Linked DNA regions of Oreochromis niloticus. The protein of the gene in region 3 interacts with the protein of the main gene of each other region in a pairwise test. Links are inferred from orthologs where the notes say so. Each region holds a gene or a part of one and is shown on either strand. Other genes may lie near its edges. The genes, in order: cacfd1, gad2 and promethin.

Region 1 (7,630 bases), on a different chromosome or scaffold from region 3:
GAAAAGAGGTCATTTGGTATTATGTTTACTGCTTTTTCACCTCTGAACTGTCCTTTAAACTATCTACCTGTGTGGCATGTGAATATTACAAAAGTGCGACAGTAATGGGACTTACACCATCCACACTCCAGCAGCAATGTTTAGAGGGTTCACAGTGACACAGTTCCACACTCCTGAGATGGCACAGGCTGCATGATTTGGACAGGACAAAACACAAAGCAAAGGGCTGTTATTATGATACCACAGACAGCAGATCATTGCATGATAGAGAAAATAATCCGTCCCATACATCCGGCTGAAGCTGTTAATACAGTTCAGCCACTTCTGTGTCGAAAAATGGGAAAGTTGTCATGTGTAAGCTGCTTAGTGACGTGGAAAATATGGAACATACGAATGCAAAAGGACAACAAACACAGAAGAGCTCTCATGAGCGCTACAACTGTGCTCTGCGTTTGTTCTGAAACAAATAAACGAAAATCAAATAAACCGTTCAAATACAGCACGCCTATCTCGATGAAAGGGCGATTATGAAACAAGGCCTGGCCCAGAGATTAATTACACAGAACAAATTTGACAGAAGTCAGGTCAAAAATCAAAGCAGACTGCCTTTTTTATGTACAAGAGAATTAGTTTCAGAGTGTTTTAATAATAACTGCATCATAACTGAGGCTGCGTTCCTCTTTTTGGCTATCATTTGTTTGAAACCTTTCAATCCTTTCGCTCGCAGCATTTCTCCCACAGTGATTATGATAGACAACATCTACACAGTGTGAGGAAGATTTTCCACTGCTAAGGAGCAGAAGGTCCACTATTGTATGTAAAAAACTAAATATGTGTACAGCAGAAAAATGAGACAGACCAAAAGCTCAGTAGAAAACAGACGGCTGGTGATGGTGAGTTCAAAAGCTGTGTAAAGAAGTCATGTCTACTTCCTACATGTGGGGATTTCTGGCAGGCTCTAATGTAGCCAACTTGGCACCTCACACATCACGGATGTGTGTGAAATAAAGCAATTAACACAGAAAATAAACTAATGGTGTAAATTACTGCCAGTTTGATTCACACTAATGTAATGCAGTCAACTATAAACACAAGAAGTGCTATCTAGATACATGATATCCATGTAGAACAGAACAGGTAAAGTTTTGGGGTTGGCTATTATTATATCTTCAGTCTGCTGTGTGTGCTTGCATGTATCCACTACATTGAAATTACTTCCATAACTTCATTTCACATGTGAACTCCACAGCTATTAAAAACAATGATATATCTGAAAAAAAAATCTCACTGCTTCTAAATCTGATGGTAAATATTGTATTAAGTATTAAATAGTATTGAGGATTGGATTTTGCAGAAACGGGGAAAAAAGAGCTGGCAAAAAAACAAAACAAGAAACCCCCCAAAACAGAAATCCAAAAGGTTATTTGCCAATAGTTAATGTTACAAATAAAAATGATAAAGCTGTAAAATTTTGTTTTAGATAATTTTATAAATCTTAAATTGTAATTTACTTCCATCCTAAAAGTTTATGTATATTTTATTAGCATTTGCTGTATCAATTAATCATAAACAAACACATTCCAGTTAAAGATATTTTTGAAATGTAAAAAAACATCTTGCACAAAATCGTAAAAACCCTTGAGTTCAGAATACCAATTCATGTCTGCACAGAGTTGTATTTTTAGGGTGGTGTCGAGAGTATTCAAGTCTTGCAGTTTTCACCACTGTGGTAACTAAACCAAACAACACCACAGAGCAGCTTCATGCTGAAACTCATCCACTGCACCTTCAGACCATCCAGCTTCCTTAATAATACAGAAGCCACTGAATATGGAGCTGTTAATGTGATACAGCCACTGTGACTCTGGTGTCACTGTGAAGGAGAGATGGATACAGGGAGAGGAAGGTTGGCTGCAGGGATACTGCAAAAACTGCAGCTCCAGCAGTTACATTTGAATAAATAAATAAATAAAAAGCCTCACATGAAACTCCTGAGGGGAATACCTGAGTATGTGCGTGTACATCGCGGTTCGTTTTGGCAGAACAAGCTGCTGTGGCATGAAAAAACAAAAAACAAACAGGCGGTGCCCAGGAGCGGCTGCTGCTGCAGCGAGGGGGACAAAGCAGTGACAAAGCTTTCGTTTAGTGGCTGTGCAGTTAAATTGCGGCATATTCACAATCTAAAACAGATTTTTCGTTATGAAAATGCCATGCCATGTCACTCTGCAGCTGCCCCTCATCTGGATACTGAGGAGGTCACACACACAGTATCAATTACGGCGTAAAGATTATTCACATAGCTGTCACACAAAATAAGTAAATGTCGTGACCTGGCACACAGCAGCAGCAGTGGTCCTAGTGCACAGTCTGTGGTATTAACTAAAGCTAAGCGTGTGGTCATGGCAGGATTTGGGTTTCTGTGGACGTAACGTTATTTACTCCAGAAGTGACATAAGACTTTGACAACTACTTACATATTCCTCCCAAAACCCCAGCTATTTTGCAGAGCCATCTGTACCACCATGTCATTCCATCATCATCCGGAGCGGATTTTGTAGGCGCTGCCGTCTCTTCGGTACTCATTGTGTTTTTCTAGCTACGTTCGCTAAAGCTAACCAAAGCCAGTATTTACAAATATCAGACCACCCAACACCCAAATATGAAAATATAAATTAATGTAACAATACCCAGCAAACTAATTCCTAACTATCTTACTCCGACCTCGCGGTCCTTTCGAATAGTTTTATATCTTTTTCAGTTTATACGTCTTTTTTAAAATAAATTATTTTCTTTCCTTTGTCTGCTCCAGTTGGGGTCAGCTGCCCGATGTTACGAGGAGCTTCTACACAGGCAGTCCCAGCGAACCGGCAAGCTAACGCTAAAAAGCACCGCCACCAGCGGCCGCTAGGCGAGGATGTCGCCGCACCGCCTCATATGGCTTCAACTTCAAAATCAGTCACATAAACGAATAAACAAACACGCTGTCTTTCTGCTGTTTACTAACTGTTCACCCGCTATGTTCACGTTAATTTAGCAGCTCAGTCTTTCGCCTTATTACGTGCTCAATAGACGTAAGCGGTGCATTGTGGGAAGGTTCCGATGTACGTCACGGTTTGTTTACATCCGGGCGAATTCCTACGGGCGGGTTTGGTTGGCATTTGTACTTTATGTATGCTTGTTACAGTAGAAATACTAGCATTTCACATCCATCTGTTGGCATTTTAATAATTTTCTACTAAAGTAATCTGTTATTTTTAAGGTGTGGCATTAGGTGCTGAGAGTGTACACTCAAGACCAGCTGTTTAGTACCATTTAAGACCTCTCGCATTACCATTCATACTACGCTAAATTACATATTTAAATTACAGAAAAGCTCTTTCAATTTCTTTTTCAATATCTACTAAATAGAAATTTGTTTTTTTTTTTTTAAACATAAATGTTTCTGTAACACATTTCTTTCATTCTTTATAGTACAGGCCATGTAGAAACACTGAGATGTACCATTAACATTGAACTTCTTTTTCTCATAAGATATCTCAGGGATTTTTTAAATGTGTAATTAAATGTCTTTAGACTCAAGGGTCTGGCCCACTTTTTTTCATTCAAATAGAAATCCAAGAGACACTACTAAACCTTTAAACCACACTAAAGATGTGGGAAACATCTAGTGTTGACTACGGGAAAAACTCACAACATATCAAGTGTTTGCTCTTTACAATTGCAAGTGTCCTCTTCAGAAAGTATGAGAAAGCAAAATCATTTGATTCCAGAAACAGCCCAAGACTTTAGATTTTTAATAAATCTGTCTTTGATCACTCATGCATACACATAACACACTTCTCCCCCAACAAACAAAACAAAAAACCCACTTATGACCTCCAAACGAGCCTTACAAATAAACCTGTCCCCGTTTCTGATTTCTTGGTAGCTAACGATAGTCCTGAGTCATATGCATTAACTGTCAAATGACTCAGCATTAAAGATGGCAACCTACCTTTTCACAACAGTGTTGCTTTGTGCCTTCACATAATAATTCATTAGTCTGAGAGTTTGCACAGGTACTGTGAATTTATTTTAAACACATTTAACATAAAATATTAAAGTGTTCTTTATTGAAGATGGCATAGGCTCTGTCAATGATGCTGATGTAGTAGAAAAATAAACTTTCCTCTTGGCAATTTTGCTTCTTTAGGTGCAATGCTATGGGCTGTTGTATCTGCATTGGCGAGGACAAGCACGTTTTAATAGGCTGCTGTTCAGGGCCCTTAAATATCATATGAGTGCTTTTATAGCATCAAAGTCAACTCTGGGAAATGTCAGAGTGTTTAAATGGCCCACTCTGGCCTCACTCTGACAGTAAAGTGGACTGTAGAGGCTTTAGAGTTCTCCGGCTAGTTCTCCTCTCCAGTCCTATTGGCGCTGGTTTCCTCTTCCCTGTGGGCGTGCGACACAGCATGTCATCGAGCGTCTGCTGAGTCACCTGACCGTCTCTTTCAAGTTGAGTCACTACCTGCTCCATTTTTATCATGTGTGGCCTGCCCTGACTCCGCAAACGTAGCAAATCCACCTGAAAGGGATGACACCAAGTCAACTCTCGGGCAGATGATTTTTCTCTGAAGCTTGAATCAACAATGTGAGTAACATTTCCTCAGAGTAGCTCAGATTAATAATAACAGCACAAGGATACATCAAAATTCCTTTGGAATAGATTTTTCCAATGTTTATCGCAGAAAAAAAAAAGTGTAGAACTTTAAATGCACCACTCATCTTGTACATAAGCATTTACACTAACAACAGTTATGTAACCCTAACCAATCTCCTGGCAGCTGTGCTAGTTTTAAGTAGCTGTAGCTGTGTTTCACTTACCACCTCCTGAGAAAACTCTGGCTTTTTTACAAAAGATGGACTTTCTGGCAACATGGCTGCAGAAAGTATAGAAATAGCCTCTGCCAACGCTCCAGACATTGTTAATATTAGTACCTAAAGAACAAACAAATTACACAGAATGACAGGAAGAACTAATGCAAGAAGTAATGCACATTACATTTTACATGCTGCACCTTTACCTTAAAATTTTGGCATAATCTGCTGTCGGTGCTCATAATTTGTGAAAATAATGACTGAGCCTTTTCTAGGTCACCCTGGAAAACACACACACAGAAAATAAAATAAATGATGCTTTAAATATGTGCTACATCTCTCTTCAAGCATAAGAGGTACTGAATGTAAAACTCACTCTTCGAAGTGCTAGTGCTACAGCGAAGCAGTAAGTATGCCTCGGGATGAACTGCCCTCTGGTCTGTTCCTCTTCTATGAGCGCGATGCAGATCCGGTAGGTCTCTGCCGTATTCTGACCAACACAAAAACAGGGCATCAGTCCAAATATAAGAATAAATAAGGTTGTAATGTTAAATGAAAATAAAAGATTAAAATATCTGAAACATTACCAGCTTATAGCAGGTACCAGCTGCTAACGTGAGAGTGTCTTTGTTGAATGGTATGCCTTGGCTCCTCATGGTTCTTAGAACCTCCAAAGCATCTGCAATAGTTAAAAGTTTGCATTATTATATAAATATCATAATCACTGTGGGAGAAACCCCCCCCCCCCAAAAAAAAAAACCACAGGAGAGTTAACCTGTCACTTACTTTCAAAGGAGCCTTTCATGAACAACATGTCTATCGCTATATTAAAGGAGGTGGTGTCGTGGAAAAATCCTTTCATGCTCTGTTCAGACAGGACAAAATAAAATGTTATTAGTCAAACACTGAAGTATATGCCCAGTCTAGTTATTGTTGTAAAACTGAAGTCTGGATGTTGTACAGTTCACCTTATCCGTGATTGTAGCAAAAGCCATGCTCTCCAGACCCAACTCATAGCACAGTCTCATGAAGAGAGGACCAAATTTGAAGTCTCCATACAACAAGTTACGGTTCTCTGTGTGATACCTTATGAGAGCAAGCCAGCAATGGGTGAGTGAGGTTTGGCTGGGTTGTTTTTTGGTCATTAACAAAAATCCCTGTAAGTGAATGCTGCACGCTTACCTGTAGATGGCATCTCTGGCTATCTGCATGTCATCTGCTGACTGGCACAGGTGAAGGAGAAGCTTCAACTCATCCCGCAATATCAGCTCATTCCTTTGCAGCTTCTGACTGAATAGGTTAATATAATTCCCTGTAAAGTTAGGTTTACACAAAAAGTAAGTTTTATACGACATAAATTTGCAGAACTGTGCCAGTGACAAGAATAACTACTTCACCTTCCGATCCACTGACATGGTGAGCCACTGCCAGCTTCCTTTGCTGGAAGTCTTGTAGCTTGATAACATCTTCCGACAACAGATGCCTTTTAGCTGTAGGGTGGTTAAAATGCGTGGTTGAATCCATAATCAGTTACCACTACATGGCAATTATATACGGGCAAAAATAACAACTATACGAGAAGAAAGCCCTCACGAGTCCCTGTGATAAGGTAGCCTTGCATAGAATAACTTGCACAATACTCACATAGCCAAAGAGAACAACAGTGGCAACAGTTAAGCTTTTAAATCCAAATTCTGGTGGACTTTATTTCAAGTTCAGTATCCCCATTAGCAGCTGTACCTTGCTTTAATTCACGTGTGCCTGCTTTACAGGGTGCTAGCTGCCCCCGCTATGCAAACCACGCAGTTTTCATACTACCTTTTAAAGAGTGACAACATTTGTTGGCGACTTTTGTTTGTCTTACCTCCTATGCAGCCTTCAATCCAGCCTATCTGTAAAACACCGTAAAAAACTCCTTTAGAGGGCTCATATAATAACGACCGACAACATTTACCAAGTCTGCCCAGCGCCATATCTCCCACAGGCTGTACCATGGCAATGAAATCAAAGGGGATGTTATTGGTAATAATAAAGCAAGGTTTTAAATTAAAAAAAACAAAACAATTTCCGCCCTGGGAATTAAGCCATATTAAAATAAAACACTTAAAAATGTCAATATTTTATTTAATCTGAAAAATATAATTAGTTATTATTTTTAATTCCGTAATGTGGTATTTCCAGTTGGTATGATCCAAAATGGCACCGCTTAATGACCCGGCTCAGTTTTTTTAAGCAGGTCGAAGGAGAACAGATTTTTCATTATACATCAGAAATAATGTGATCGTCATTTAAAACGAAGCTTTAACTATATTCTTTGAATCGTGGTTTCCAGAAAGGCCACGCGAAATTTTATTACTCAACAAAACGGCATCAAACAGGAAAATGTGTTTATCTGTTAACCAGCAGGTGGTGCTGTTGTGCTACAGAACATTTCTGGTTTGGCGTCATTGCTTGGAGCAGCTACAGTGTTTGTACTGTACCCACACAGTGAGGTATAATATACACATTTTAATAATGTAAAATGCAGGGACTAAGAAAGTCAGATATGAGCTTACACTCATATGGTATTATTCTTTGTTACTATATTGCTGTTTACTGTAATAGAATAGAATAGCTTTTTATTGTCACTGTTACAAGAACAATGAAAGGCAGTTTGGCATTTCTCCATGTGTGTGAAGTACACAATAGCGTAAGTATTTACACAATAACAGACAAATTTAAATTTACACGAGAAAGATATGTAGAAGTTATACATACACCTGCAAGTATA
Region 2 (8,109 bases), on a different chromosome or scaffold from region 3:
TGTGTGTGTGTGTGTGTGTGTGTGTGTGTGTGTGTGTGTGTGTGGAGGGGGTGGGGGGCCGCTATCAGGCCATGCAGACGCAGAGCAGACTGCACGCGGATGGTCCGGAAATGGAATCCATTGTCATTATCATTATCACCGCTTAAAATCGCGATGAAGCAGGCCACATACTTACATATTGGTGTTGGCGGTGGATGTTAGCCAATCGGCTGCCAGTCCGACCATGTCTAATCCCGTGGAGAGCTGATTGAAGTACCTGGGGTGGGCTGAAGGGAAAGGAGCAGAGGATGGAGAAGGCAAAGAGGCGGAGTGTGAGATGGCTGCAATTTGAAGGTTTTACGCAGCAGAAGCTGTCATCTTCCGAGCGCTTTAATTGTCAACTTTAAAACAAAATCTCAGGAAGTGATGAAAACATTTGGTGTAGCATTGAGCAATGTAAAAGGTAAACACACAAAACATGTTACAGCAGTGAGACGTGATCAGATTTCAGTCTGCGTCATAAACACAGGAGTTAAAACAAAGAGTAATTTATGGGGCTGATCAAACAAAAAAAAAAGAAAAAAGAAAAAAGAAAAAAAAGGAAGGAAGGAAGATATAACTGTACTTATAAATCTGGTGCAAGTCCTTCTGTGGGCACCTAATAATTCCTAAATAATAATAATACACATTTTTTCTCATAGCAGAGGAGAATTGCTGATGATTACAATAAATGACTGAAATCCTCATATCTTTGCTTATACCCGCATTACAGTGTGATTTTAATTGTTTTTAAGGTTGTTAAATATTCATAAACTATTTTTTCAGTTTTTCTTTTTCTTTTTGGAGGCTGAAATCTGTCCTGTGGCGTTGCTGTAAATTCCCCCCCTGCGTGTGTCACTCAGGGGAGAATAATGGACTTGGCCTATGAAGCCTGGTTATTAGCCTATTATCTCCTACTTGGTGAACCAGATTTACTGCGTCACTGCATTTATCGGTCTGGTGGTCAGGAGGAGGAAAAGGAGGACAACTGTGTTGATGCTTTATAGGCGTCATTTATCATTTTATTTATTTATTTATTAAACCCGGAACACGTTAAAGACGTTTTCTTTGTTTGCCTCTCTCTTTCCGGGTCGGTTTTTTAAGCTCACCGCTTTCGTGTTTCCAGTTTAGTTTTGCAGTAAAACTAAATAATTTGTAAGGTGTAACATAAATTTCACAGTGGCGCTCTGTAATTTATCTAGCTTTCCTTTTTATTTTATTGTTAAAAATGTGTTTTTAATTTTCCATTTATATGCGTAAATATTGGAATTTTGGCAGATTTCACACAAAGATGAGCGAAAGGCCGGAATCCAGGCCTGCGTGTGATGATACAGCCTGGGGGGAGATTTTTTCCAACACTCCGACGCATCTATTTTTTTAAATAAACATATGTGTATATTAAAAAGTGAATTTATTGATTTGCATGCATGCAATAAAATCAGACCCAGGCCTACCTGTTTTGATGGCGTATTTCAGTGTAGCGCGACAGCTGATCAAGATGTCGTCCAGAGTCGCAGGTTCGTCCTGCAGCTCCCAGTTGTTCATCTGAAGCAGCTCGTTCGGATAATGAAAATCAATAACTTTCGTTTCCCGGTCGAAAGACTCCACTATGTAGGCCAGTAAAATATCCACAACTTCCTGCAGGAAGGTCATCGTTTTGGTGTCACCGTCCGTGGCCGGTAACAGGTCTGCGAGAGGAGGGTGGATTACAGTGGAGGCATTTTGTGATTTTTATTTGAGGACGGAGGAATGTGTGCAAAAAAATGCTTCCACGCAATATCAAGATTCACCTTTACACGGGTCAAAGTTTTATTTATTTTTTTGTCTTTGAAATTTTCCTCCATGCAGACAAATAAATAATTTGACATTGTTTCCACGTCCGAACACTGATTCTGTTTTATACGAAAATCTCGTGTTTTGCGCTCAACACCTCAAAACACACGATTCTGGTGAAGGTGACCTCTCGGAAATAGCCCCTCTTTGAGGAGGAAAGAACTGACCAACATAACTCCTCTCTCAGAATGTGGTAAAAATGAAAATGATGGACAAAACTATTCATCCAATACATAATGTGTTATTTTTTAAATTGAGATTAAAGCGGATAACTTCAGCCATTCATTTCTCAGGAGTTTGTGCGATCAGATGCAAATATTTGATGCACATTTTGAGATTATTTTCTTTTATAGTTAAGATGATTATATACAAATATCGCATAAAAACAAGGTCTATTTTCTAGCCTACTTCGCACAGTGAAAACTGCTCAATGTAAGGCCAAGTTTGGACTCGGGGAAGAAAATAAATCTCAAAATTAATCCAGCTTCACAGTGCACTTTCGTACCTGTTGAATAGAGGTCGGAGAAGACCACAGCAGCTTTGGTGCAGTTGCAGGATTTGTTGCAGCCGCAGGTTCCTGCAGCCGTCTGCGGCGGCTGCTTGGCGCCCGGCTCGGCAGGTTTCTCCACCTCCCCGACATTTAGCAGCGCTTTGGAAACCCACAAAAAAGAGCATCGAAATATATATTTTTATTACTCTATGGCCAGACAGTTATGATGGAAATAACTGGCACGTTTGCCTAAAAATAGCTTCCCCTCCGTCTCCACCCCCGCCCCCGCTCCTTCCCCAACATACCACATAGTTTCGATCCAATTCCTCCGGATAATTTCTGGGCCGCTGCTTGGCACCAAGCCCTGGCTGGAAGAGAGAAGGGGGATAAATCAGATAAGGGATGTGCTGGCTTCAGCTTCAGTCCAAGTTTAGGGAAACACAAAAGGCGCCATGCAACTTGGAATAAAACAGCTCTTTAGATACACGAAAAATGTCTCATGTGAAGAAAAAGAAGAAAGAAAGAAGCCAAAAAAAAAAAAAAAGCAGGATTGTTGCCTATTATAAGGCCTGTCTGGTGGTTCGCTGAATGCAGGGCACTGGCTTGAGACAACGCTCAGGAATTACTGCGCCCGGTCCGTCAGGAGGTGGTTTGAAGACAAAAAGCCACTCACGCGTACTCGGGCTCTGACTCCCGGTATTGGCCCCCGCATTATCTCCGCCAAGAGACCAGAACCCGTGTGATGCCATTGTTGCCGGTAGTTAGGAGCTGCAGGAGGCGCGGAGACCGACAGAGCCCATCCACACGCGACGACCGGGAGCTGTTCAGAGCCGATGTGGTGCTGAATCTGACCAGACCTTTCAGACTGCTTGAAATCCAGCCGTGCATCCGACAGACGCTTTAATTCGTTGGAAAGACCCTACAAATAAACCGACCCTCGTATGTGCGTGTGTGTGAGCGTGGGGTGGGTAAATAAAAATAAAAGAAATCACAAAAGGCGTCCTTGCTTCCTCCTTTGCAGGCGTCCACAGGTGCACGAAGCATGAAGCGCCGTGTCCAGAAAGAAATCCGCAAACACTTGACCGGCGCAGAGCAGCCAAGCTCTTTACTTAATAGGGGGAAAAATGCAATACAGCGCAAGATAGTTTGCGCAAGTTCCGGATGTAGTGAAATGTCTTTTGATGCAAAGCTGCTACATTATATAAAAAATGACTCAGAGAAAAACAATAAGCAAAAAGAAAAAGAAAGAAAAGCAGGAGGTGGTGAAAATGGTGGAGGGGGGGGGGGGGAAAGCAGCTATGAGGCTACAGCTGCTGGTAAATATGCGGCGCACAAGCCATGCCTAATTGCAGCCAACCTAAATTTCACGTCACTAAAGCAATCCCGTCGTGATTCACTTCAGGTCATGACGAGCCGCGCTGCGTCGTGCGTCGTGACTCCATACATCCCCGACATTTTTGGCCCCCTGCGCACAGAACTTACCCTCCATACAGACACTGAACGCCAACTAATTCATCTGCCCAGCAATCGCAGACCTATTTCTTCAGACCTCTAATTGCCCGCCTCCGGTGGAGGAGACAGCGGGGCGGAGAGGGGACTCGGTTCAAATACACAGTGCGCCTGGGTCCCTCCTCTCTCCGCTCACTCCAGGGGCGCGTTACTCCGAAAATATTTATTACTGAGAGAGGGGCTTGCTTTACTTTCTTTACTCACAAAGTGTTTTTTTTTCGTCTGATTTTGAGACATCCCCCCCCCCCCATCCAAAATAAAGTTAAGCCCGTAAATCTGCAGTTTAACTGCGTCAAAACATCCGGATATAAGGAGGAAAACAAATTGGAATAGTTAAAAATAATATTAACTCTGTTTTTCTTTGCTCTGGTATTGTGTTGTGAAGCACTGTGTGTTTGTCTGCAAAGGTGCTACAGAAATAACATTTTATTTTACTTACAGTATCTAGTTACAAATCACCACGTGGAAGTCCAACAGCGTCACCTTCCGTGTCTCCACGAATTAGTGTAAATGAACCCTGCGGGCATCAAAGCTACACTGAGCCTCATCTGCGGTGATTTATGAATGCACTGGTCAACAGTTATCTAATACCCAAAAAGACTCATTAACATAAACTGAACCCTTTAAAATGTGTAAACCCAAACTCAATGTATTATGAGATTACTCTATTGTGTCATTTCAGAGTTTCTTTCTTTGTTCAAACTTGGTGTAACATTTTGTAATAATATTTTATTTTAAATCATTTATCTGTGAATCCTGTGTGTGGAGGAAGCTGTAACAGTTTTTCTCTTGTAGTCTGCATTTTGTCAGGATTTCTTCAGCCCTACGTGTTTTTGTGCCACTGTGCACTGTGTGCAGTCAGCATGTAGCTGGGGATTCACTAACAGCCCCTGAGGGGGGCTTCTCTTTCAAAAATGTCACATAAAGGTCAGAGGTCGAATCTGGCATCAATATTCAAATAAATACATAAATAAAAAACATTCTGTCCTTCTTACTTTTCCACCAAATATTCACAAGAATCAAAGGCTGTCATTTGGGTGAATGTTATTTCATACGTAGTGATTATTGGGCACAAAGCAACAATAACGCGGGATGGGGGACAATGTGAGGAATTGATGTACTTTATGTACACAGGCAATGAAACACTGAATGTCTTTGCATTTTTCCTTCTACGTTACTCATTTTGCAGGGTAATGACAAGCTTGCGATTTCGGCTAATTTGAGAGCAGCGAACTGAAAATAATGAAACGGGACGAGGAATTTAATATATTTTTTTGTTTAAGTGAACGAACTGAACATTTGAGCAGATAAAATAATGTACATTCTTCACAATATGAAGCTGATTAGACTTCGGAATGACCTGAAATGCAAAGTTTTAAGAGCACAACCTGCAAATTCTTTGAAAGAAAATAAAGATATCGAAGAAAAAACATTGGAAATACAGAATACCAGTAACTAGACTGTTGGTCTCATAAATAAAACCTTATTTTACAGCAAGTTTAAAAGTATGACATCTTGTTATTTACATTGACTGTACTCTGTGTTCACTGTATGCATGGAAATCAAAACATTTTGTCCAGTTAAGTCCAGAGGAGTTTCATTTCTTAGTCAAACTGTTGTACAATGTGTCTGAAGATCAATAAAATAAATGAAACATCTGCTGTTGTTAGCAGGACACCAGAACACACTGCCACATGGTGCGATCAGTGATCCCGACCGATCAAGTCCCGAATAGCCAAAAGTCACTTCCTGTATTCAGTAACGTTTGATCAGCCTTTGTCGCTGCGAGGTCTTCCTCAGTAGATGTCTGAAGTCATATGGATTCTCTTCAGTCCGGCTCTCTGTGGAGGCCATTCTGGGAACAGAGCGCCTGTCGATTAAACAAAGGAGACAAATTTCAGCACAAAGAGATAAAAACAGAAATGCTGAACACAAGGTAGGACATGGGGATGTAAACAAACAAACAAACAAACAAAATTAAATGGAAAGGAGATGAAAAGATTCATGTTCAGGGTTCAAGGTTTTCATACTGGTTATCATATTTGGGCCATTTATCATGAGCTGTCCAAGGGAGCGGCCAAGCTGAAGGGAAAATAGATTAAATTCATACATGAATTTATCCTTCGAGCAAGTAGAAACTAAAATTCAAAAACCAGACTCATAAACAGAGGTGCTGGTACCTCACAAGTCCTATTATGGAGTAAGGATGTGGCCAGACTAAAACTACAAATCAAGGAGCTGATTTGTAGTCCTGATCTGAAGAATCTTTATTAATATCTTTTTGTGACAGGCAGCTGAATAGCACTGAAAAATAATGAAAAGTTGAAGTGCCAAAAGCTGCAGTTCCTCAAACAGCCACTTGAGGCAGACTGCAGTAAGTTTATGTTAAACTGAACAAGTTTCTGTAAAAATAAACATGTTTACACCCCAGTTGTTGGCTCTGAAGATAATTTAGCTCTTCATAAAAACTTTATTGTGGAGTGAAATTTTTATTATGAATCAGCAATTTAAATTTAGTCAAGGCTTAAAATTATGCATTATTATGGGTGAGACTGGTTTGAGTGACAGGTGGATGCAGGCTAGGCTGCTAATCTGTCTGCTAGGCTTCACCTCAGCTAATTAAAGTCACTGAACTGGAAGTCTTGACTGTGTTTGTGGTGTTTCTGCCTTTTGTAGCCTTTATGATGAAATTATTTGATCAGCTAAGTGATACAAACTCTCCAAGTCTACGCTTGTGATGAGTTAAAGTCTGGTATTTTATTTGCATGTTACAAAGCACTAATTAGTTGATATCTGTGCACTGTGCCTATACAATCAAGCACAATGTTAGAATTAAAGACGAGACAACTACATCACTATTTGTGAAGGAATTTCAGAATTTCTGTCTTATATCTGTGAGGTTCTGACTGGACTATGAATATAAGTAATTTATGCGAACTTCTGTTTAATGTGTAGACTGCAACAGATTAGCAACGAATGACAGCAATTTTCCTTATTATAATAAACACACTGCGTGTAATTATCTACTTGACCTCATTCAGCAGACTGACTTCATCTTATTGCCATTTTATCACCGACTTTAAAGCAGCAAAGTCACTTTGAAGAAAACAATTGACTGAGTTTTCATAGACTTGCTGTTAAGACTTTCAAAACTACAAAGTTTACTGTACACAGTTGCAATAAAATTGTAGCATGCCATGGTCTCTTATCACCATTGTCCTTACTGTAACTATAGCCTTACCAGCTAGCCAACATTAGCTGCTAGCTTAGCACTCCAGCCTCATTAAAATACGATCAGATGTGTCTCTTAAATCCAAGATGGAGCCAAAATGCTTCAGAAGTGGCTTCAGTGGGTGATATCATGGTGAGAACTTCCATCTTTCATATACAGCCTGTATAGCTTTGTCTTATTATGGTTATGTAGATAATGCTTTTCCTTCTTTCTGTAAACTAAGGTCTCACTTTAAAAATCATCTGAATTCACAGAGATTAGATTTATTTTTAAACAGTAGCAACAGTGGTAGCATTATTATGCTGAAGTAGAAACGTAACAAATTCAGTTAGCAAACATTAATAATGTAACTTGTGACTATATTTGTGAATGAGTAAAGCTGAACTTTAATAAATTGTACGTGCAGACGGTAACAAAGCGGTCAGCTGGACAAAAATCCTGAAGGCCATTACCTATCTTTCATCTGTTTCACATAATGCGAGTCAATGGAAATGATGACGAGATGGCTGGAAAAACAATCCCAAAAATGTCATAATGGGACCTCGTGGTTGGTATTGACAAAGATTAAAATGGCATCATAAAAAGTGGAAACTGATTTCCAGCTTAAAAGTGGTTCCACCTTGTTGAAGCTTATTGATGGTGCTGATTACAACATAGCTGAAAGTTATCTGTATGGGGTTGGTTCATGTTGCAGCTGCAACCTAGCTGGAGGTCTACAGTTGTTATTATTAAAAAAGCAGAAACAAGTAATTAATGCAGTCATGCACAGTTTCACAAAAATACAGGGACACTTTATAGGGCATGTACTTATTGCCAGAGACACTATGAAGAGGACATAAATGACACACCTGTTTTCTTTGGCAGATTTGGGATGCTCCGGTTCAGTGGCGGCCCTCTCTCGGATCTGTCGACTGGGAGCAGGCAGTCTCTGCTCTACAGACTGCCTCCTGTCCCCAAACTGCCTTCTATCCATAGATCGTCTCCTGTCCATGGACTGCTTCCTCTCTACGGACCGCCTCCTTTCCAT
Region 3 (7,215 bases):
ACTTCTGTCCACGACATAGCCTTTGCAAGTAGCAGACACCGTTTCCAGCAGTTATACCTGAGTGGCTGTATCATCAAATGTGATACAGCCTAGGGAGGAATGGTCCAAAACGCCTCTCCATCACTTCAGCTTTCATAGAAAACACTGGAGGAACACTAACATAGTTTGAGCTACTCCCTTCCCCTGAGGGCGCACAAAATGAATCCACACTTGATTTGGCACAGATTTTACACAAGATGCCCTTCCCGACACAAACCTCCCATTTACGCAGGCTCGTGTGGAAGCTCGTGACCCCTCCTGAGGCTGCGTTTATGTCTTTTCCCAGAAACAAACCAGGGATCAAACAACTAATGAACATCGACAAGCTAGAGTTCACTTACTCCAGCTAAAGCCAGATAAACTCAAGATGCGACTTGGATGAAGCAAAGACCATATTATTTTTGATAATAAGAGAAATAAAGTACAGAAACGTTGATAGAATAGCGAAACATACCATACAGCGTGCACTGGGTTCAATTTACCCCAACAACGTTTAATTTGTGTTCAGTCATCAGATGCACAATATGCAGTATGGATAAACATCTTCTCAGTACATGGAGTTTGGCCTCATTATGATTGATATAAACAGCTGTGTACAGTAAATAATTACAACTGCATGTTCTACACAACATTTCTCATCATTCTTTATTTTTTGGAGGGACCCATCAGAATATTTTCACCTCTGTTTGGACAGAAGATAGCGTTCCTCTTCACACGTAACAGCAAACATAAACACATGACAGTCATTTTGGTGCATTTCACTTAACATCAAGTAGCTGTACACTGCAGCCGAACACACAAATATATCGGCATTTCCATTCTAACAAAACGTTCATCTGTAATGAAGTAGTGCATGACCTTTTTGGGGGGGATAAAGTAACACTGCAAGTGCATGAGTTCCCCCTTTTCTCTAGTTCTTGAAATGAGCCTCACATAAAGCCTCCCTCACTGGTCAATGAGCCCTCACACTGAATGTTTTTTGAGAGTTTTTAAAACTGGACGCTACAAATAAGGGATGGATAAATAACACAGGCACACTACTACACAGCTGTAAGTCTTCACACAATCAAAGGAGTGGCCATTAAATGAGTGCACGTTTAAAACGCCTCGTCATCGGCTTCACTCTTCAGATCGGAAAGCTGCCTGCGTCTTTGGCATTTGATTAAAACAAGGCTACTTGACTTAGCAAATGAGGTAGGTTCAATGTTAGTTATTCCATGGGTCTCTCTCTTTCTCCACTACAGTGAGACTACTGGAATAATAACAATATTAGGCTTAAGACATACAATAACAATGAGATCTGTTACAACAGCAGATTTCAAACAAAACACCATAGTGCACGTTCAGGAGTCTGTATCGCTGCATCGCAACCTCCCGGATTCAGCAGGGCTCACTCGAAACTTCAGGCAGGCAGAAGAAGAAAAACTAGTTGGCCTTCGAGTCTTTCTCTGTTGAAGTTTCACACTCAGTCTTCTCTCCCTCGATTACACCTTTCTGTTATCGAAGAGAAAAACAGATTAATTCCACTAAGAAAACAAATGTTTCCAATGCAAGCTACAAACTTTTTAACATTAACTGATGATATGAACATATATGGATGATTATACACTGCCATCAGGGGAATATATGCCTGTTTATGTCTAAAAAGGACCTGCTATGTTTCTCCTTATTTTCTGTTACATATAACTAGTGCAGGGTTGGACCCCCGCTTGCCTTCAGAGCTGCCTTAATTCTTCATGGCACAGATTCAACGAGGAGGTGGAAACATTCCTCACAGATTTTGGTCCATTAGCAAGAAGCTAAAGATGTGCACCTAATTAAGTGACGACTGAGTGTATATAGTTTTTATTTAATAAGTCAAAAGTTTCACATAATCTGAGAGATGAACTACTGTGATCTCTGATCTCTCAGGCAGCCAATCAGAAGAGAGTTGTCTTTAAGGGAGTTCAAAGGTTGTTTCAGACAGTGAATGAAGGTCTGATGAATGTCAGAGCTACTCTAGTAGAGCTCATGAATAATAACATTGAACTTAAAATGAGCACAATAGATCCACTTTAATTTACAACACAAACTTTGTTCCAAACAAGGCAACTAAACTCATGCTTAATTGTCAGTACGTTACCTTTGTCAGATGTGGGTAGTAACGGTTCAACAGGCTGAAGGTGGTGACATACAAAACATTAACGACGGCCGAGGCCACGATGGCGAAGAGGGCGATACCAGAGAGCACCCAGAGCAGAGCCAACCCTCCGACAAACAACAGGAATGCTGAGAGAGCAAACACAGGTGACAGGTTTGTGACTACCAGGTGGTGCGGTGTCATAAAAATACTACAGCGCAAGAGTGAGCGCACCTACCCTCACAGAAAACAAAACCCACTGCAGATATCATCGTGGTCACAACGGCAAAAGTGACAAAGAGTCCAACAGGCACTGCAGCCATGGCGCTGAACATCAGAGCTGTGAGAGCTACAAACGAGTGGCTGCTGAGGTACCGTCCAAGTCTCGTATTCAGCAACCGTGCTACCTGTAAGAGATCAGGTTTCAGTGCAGCTGGAAGACAAACCATCAGCTGATGGACACAAATTAGGGAAAACATAAAAAACTTTGACAGGTGGAGGTGTGAAGTTCTGGGTTACCCTGGGGTCATCTTGTAAGTGTTTCACCAAGGCCGTCCATCTTTTCTTCAGCTGCTCAAAGTCAGCCCCCCTCTCACTGCTGCTGGTCTGCATCTCCACACAGGTCTTTAGTGACTGAGGAGGAAAAACACACACAGTCAGTCTGGCTGCTTAAATCCCACCACTTAGCTTCCTATTTAAAAGTTACTCCGACGGCTCAACACATCCTCAGCTCAGCCCCAGTAACAATAAAAACTAGCTCAGAAACAAAATCTGGGATAAAGCTAACAACTGTTGTGAACTTCTGTTGCCGTTCACTGGACGAAAGTAACTTTCATTACACACTTTTTTAAAACATATAACACAAGTTCTGCTGTGAGGTACAAACCTTAAACTGAGTATCGACAGCTCACAACATGAGAGAGAAATCACGAATGTCCCGTGGCTGCTTAAAACACGTCCACGGAAACAACACACCCTGTTTAAAACACACATCTCCTTTCTGCTCGTCCCTCCTCCTCCTTCTTCCTCTTCACAGAAACTCAGAAACGGTTCTCGAGGTTAACGCTGCCACCCAGTGGTGGGCTCAGGTATTGCAGCTCTAGGTGGCTAGCAAGAGCAACGGAGCAAAGAAAATTTAAAATAGTATAATCTACAATAAAAGTAACCTAGGCCCATACTGAAGGCTTTGTCGTGTGAGGGAGTGCATTAAAAAATGCAATTTTATAGAGCAGTGACAAAATAATACAAAAATGAATTTAAATTAAAAAAAATAAACACTCATTACATTATAAAATGAAACTTTAGCTCTTCCCCACCCTGCACTTTCATTTGTTTTGGAGAAAACAAATGACTGATGGCCCCAAAAAGTCGATTCTGTTCATCGTTTTCAGTGGGAGAAACGTTGCAGCGTCACTCACCCAAGGGACTTGGATTCCTTTTTGGGATTTCCTTACCTGGATGACTGCACATGAATCAAGACACTTTGTGACTGATGATATCACTCTGTGACTCTGCTGCAGAATAAAATCTGGATGCAAGGATGCAGGAATCAAACATCTGGAGTGACCAAATATTTGCACTGCCCTCTAAAACCTTTTATAAAAGATTTAAATCAATTTAAATAAATGAGAAAATAAATGTGAACAATAGATTTCACTTCCAAAATAATAAACCAGCAGCAACTCCAAAATAAGCATGGCTAGTCATGTGTATTTATTTATTTCCTAATATTAGGAAAATATTTCTTTTTTTCCACAAGGAAACTTATACAGATAGGTAACCATAAGGCAGTAGAATGACGCATATAGTAATAAAATGTCCATAATGAAAACACATATAGTTTTCGTCTGACCTTAGTCAGACTCATGTTTATTTACTGCCCTCTAGTGGTAAAAATGATAACCTGCAACACCATAACAGCACTGATACAGTCATTTATATTTAAATGTAAAAACAAATAATAACTTGATAATAACATGTAATACTTTAATTGCTAATGCATTAATAATCATGTGGAGATTACGATCACTGCTTCACGTTATATTAATGCTACCTCTTATTTTGCCATTAACTGATTATTGGAACAGTGAAGTTTCGTCCCAGATTGTTCTCTTGTTCCTTTTCAGCGGTGACATTTCCTTTACTCTCAAGTATATTTCCACCTGCGCAGCTGCGTGTCTTCCCCTCCTCCTCAGACATATTATTCACTGTCATTAAATGATGCAGTCAGTAATTATGATGGATGCCGGTGCCAGCCTTCTCTGCTTCGGCTTAATTGTGCCATAAAACACAAATGGACTTAATTGAGTTGGTCACGAGGTCACGAACGATCAAGTGATTTGTTCTTGCCGTTTTGTTTTTATTGTCACGGGAGTAAAACGGAAATCAGCGAAGAATAAACGTGCATTTCTGGAAGTGTGTTTCAGTAGAAAGCAAACACAAGCAGGTGACATCATTATCAGAGGTTACTCAGCACCTCTGATGTGGAGTAACCTCAGCAAACGGTACCTTTTGAACATGCCCTCATATTGACTGCCGAGGCTTTGCAGCAGGTGCTTTATTATCAGCAGTTCCCCTGAGATCCTGCAGGGGGGGTTCCTATTTCACGTCGAGTCTGTCGGGCTGAAATGGCCCTTTAAAAATAATGACCACACTGTTTAGCTCTCAGCTCTGTGCTGCTATTAGATGGCAACAGTAAGATTTCTCTGTGAAGACTGATCGGAATATCAAATGACTGAGCTTCACCTCCGCCGCTGATTGCTTCCTCGGTAAAAGATAGCAGATATTACCACAGGTGCCCACAAATTACGTTAAGTCCCTCGAGTTTTGGACGGCATTAAATTTTTGTGAGCACATAACTGCCAGGCATGGGCGAGCGAAACGGCAGGGCGATCTGTTCTGAATTACACCAAAGAGAGACACCCCTGGGACCAGTGATGACAACTTATTTGGAGCCTTTATAGCTGCTGGCCATACTAATTAATCACGCTGTTTGGTATTGTGTACAGGGGGAAGGTTCGGTGGGAGAAAAAAAAACAGCATCCACCTCTCCAGACTGCTAAACACCGTGAACCCAGTGAACCAAGGCTTTTCAGGAGGTACACAGGAGTTACACAAGAGGAGATTATGTATGCAGTTTGTGCATCTGCACCCAAACAACAAGGGATTCCCAATAACTCAGCCTGCACCCTTCACCCCCACCCTCTGCAATCTCCTTGAATTTCAGGCTTTGATTTTTATGGCTCTTCCCCATCAGATTACACATTTCATAGTGGGAAACTCTGCAGGCTGGCTGCTGCACTGCATTCCACATAACTTCTGACTGCCAACCAATGCATGCTTCATTAACAAGACCCTGCCTGCGTGCTGGTTGTTCATCAGCACGCCCCTGTTGAACTGCATTAAGCTTCATCTTCTCCCAAAGCTGTGAAACATCTCATAGGGAGACCAGCCTCAAATCTCAGTCATCTATCAAACACTCAGTAATCAATACATCATTAAGAAACAAATGACACCTTTGAAGCAATTGACAGCCTATTTTTGCAAATCTTTAATATTGTTTTGTAGTTGAAGTCAGTTTAAACAAAGCACCCCCTTAAATTACAATTATTCCGTAACAAGCAACAGGTGAGAACTCAAACAATATTATTCTATTTACTTTTCTCTTTGGATTATCTCCTCCAATGCGTTTTGTCCCCGAGCCTGAAATTGTGCACTGCTGCGCTACATGCCATCATACAGTGTTTTGTAGTAATGCATTATTTAGGAGGAAACATGTTGAAATCAATCAAATCACCACGGCAGTGCAGCATTCATTTTTCATCACTTAGAGCTGCAGTGGGCAACAAACCTTCAAGCAGCTGCCACCTCTCTGTTTTATGTCCCCTTTCACCAGTACATTATGCTACACACCTGACCTGCTTGGATCAGTCCTCACTTACCATCTAGAATTAAAAAAAATCTAGTCTTAAATCGGAGCCAGAGGAGGTGTAGAGGTTTAATCACCTTCAAAGTACATGGTCATTACACAATGCTAGAAGGTAATTATAGGCTTTCTTTGCTCATTAGGCCAAAAACATGTTGTCTAAGTCTGCAAAATTAAAGGCACTTTGTTCAGGAGTGGTTTTTAAAAAAGATACTACACCTGGTTCAAGCACTGTGTCTTTTCAGTTTCTTATAAAACCCGTGTACTGATTTTTTATTAGGCTGAAACTACTACTGATGCTGAAATAATAAATGTCAAGCAGAACTAATGAGGGGCTTTCCCTTCTGTGACCAAAGTGACTGAAGTGAACTGCCATGCATTTCTAAAACGAACCCTCTTTCACATCTCATTTAAGATCTTTAAGTAAAATATACAACTAAAATGTGATTTAAATTAGGCAAAATCATATTATCACTTTGGCTGTGCGCTAGGTTTAATTCATATATGCTTTGCGCTGGTCAAAATAAGACATCTAAATGCAACAGAGCTGTTCTGTGGCTCTGGAGAAACAGTGAATGACATGCGTGACGAGCAGTCCGCTCTCCCTTGAGCGTAGATGAAAACTGAATGTTGTTAATATGTCCCATATACATGTGGCACGGAGATATATTTGGCTGTCTGAGAGCAAATTGACTGCACGATATGTCTACTGGCATGTGTCAGGCTGCTCAACAGATTGCAACCAAAATGTGATTGATGGGCTGTCAGCAAATTCCAATTTGCATTCACTGATTGTAAAAACTAATCACTGCGAGAGGAGGAGCGATGAAGAACCATGAAATAGTTGGAAATCTCCAGTGGTGCCCTGTTAACTGGTGCATGTCCAGCATTTTTTTAATATCATTTGTTTACTGATGTCTATCCCTTCGCTGACACACTGCAGTCGTAGCCTTCTGTGCATTATGAGAAAATGCGAGGGACCTAGTTCTTTTATTCGTCTCTGTTCAGCTTGTCCCATTCGATACCCACACCTCTCTCTCACACTTCCTCACTTTGTTCGCCTCTCTTTGAAGTTGCACAGGAGTGTTCGTCCAACAGCTGGCTGCAGGAGAACAAAATGTCTTTGGAGTCT

The links.
Region 1: the proteins of promethin (region 3) and cacfd1 interact in binary tests that used the Homo sapiens proteins (3 or more experiments, as listed by UniProt). The two-hybrid records come from large-scale screens. The link is inferred for Oreochromis niloticus from reciprocal best matches to the Homo sapiens genes LDAF1 and CACFD1.
Region 2: the proteins of promethin (region 3) and gad2 interact in binary tests that used the Homo sapiens proteins (3 or more experiments, as listed by UniProt). The two-hybrid records come from large-scale screens. The link is inferred for Oreochromis niloticus from reciprocal best matches to the Homo sapiens genes LDAF1 and GAD2.

What each region holds. Positions count from the first base shown.
Region 1 is NC_031972.2:15,730,500-15,738,129, reverse strand, and holds the start of cacfd1 (calcium channel flower homolog), read right to left. Parts: upstream 3,097-7,630; 5' UTR 2,584-3,096; coding exon 2,475-2,583; intron 189-2,474; coding exon 116-188; intron 1-115. Other genes in the region: ptcd2 (pentatricopeptide repeat-containing protein 2, mitochondrial), read right to left, coding at 4,346-4,567, 4,867-4,980, 5,067-5,141, 5,237-5,350, 5,448-5,539, 5,647-5,725, 5,829-5,946, 6,043-6,172 and 2 more. UniProt on the Homo sapiens protein: Transmembrane protein which mediates synaptic endocytosis and fitness-based cell culling.
Region 2 is NC_031974.2:12,419,089-12,427,197, reverse strand, and holds the start of gad2 (glutamate decarboxylase 2), read right to left. Parts: upstream 3,091-8,109; coding exon 3,015-3,090; intron 2,710-3,014; coding exon 2,647-2,709; intron 2,501-2,646; coding exon 2,357-2,500; intron 1,707-2,356; coding exon 1,473-1,706; intron 267-1,472; coding exon 176-266; intron 1-175. Other genes in the region: myo3a (myosin-IIIa), read right to left, coding at 5,606-5,720, 7,931-8,109. UniProt on the Homo sapiens protein: Catalyzes the production of GABA.
Region 3 is NC_031969.2:19,228,871-19,236,085, forward strand, and holds promethin, read right to left. Parts: upstream 3,205-7,215; 5' UTR 3,045-3,204; intron 2,792-3,044; 5' UTR 2,771-2,791; coding exon 2,678-2,770; intron 2,566-2,677; coding exon 2,397-2,565; intron 2,308-2,396; coding exon 2,162-2,307; intron 1,534-2,161; coding exon 1,465-1,533; 3' UTR 512-1,464; downstream 1-511. UniProt on the Homo sapiens protein: Plays an important role in the formation of lipid droplets (LD) which are storage organelles at the center of lipid and energy homeostasis. In association with BSCL2/seipin, defines the sites of LD formation in the endoplasmic reticulum.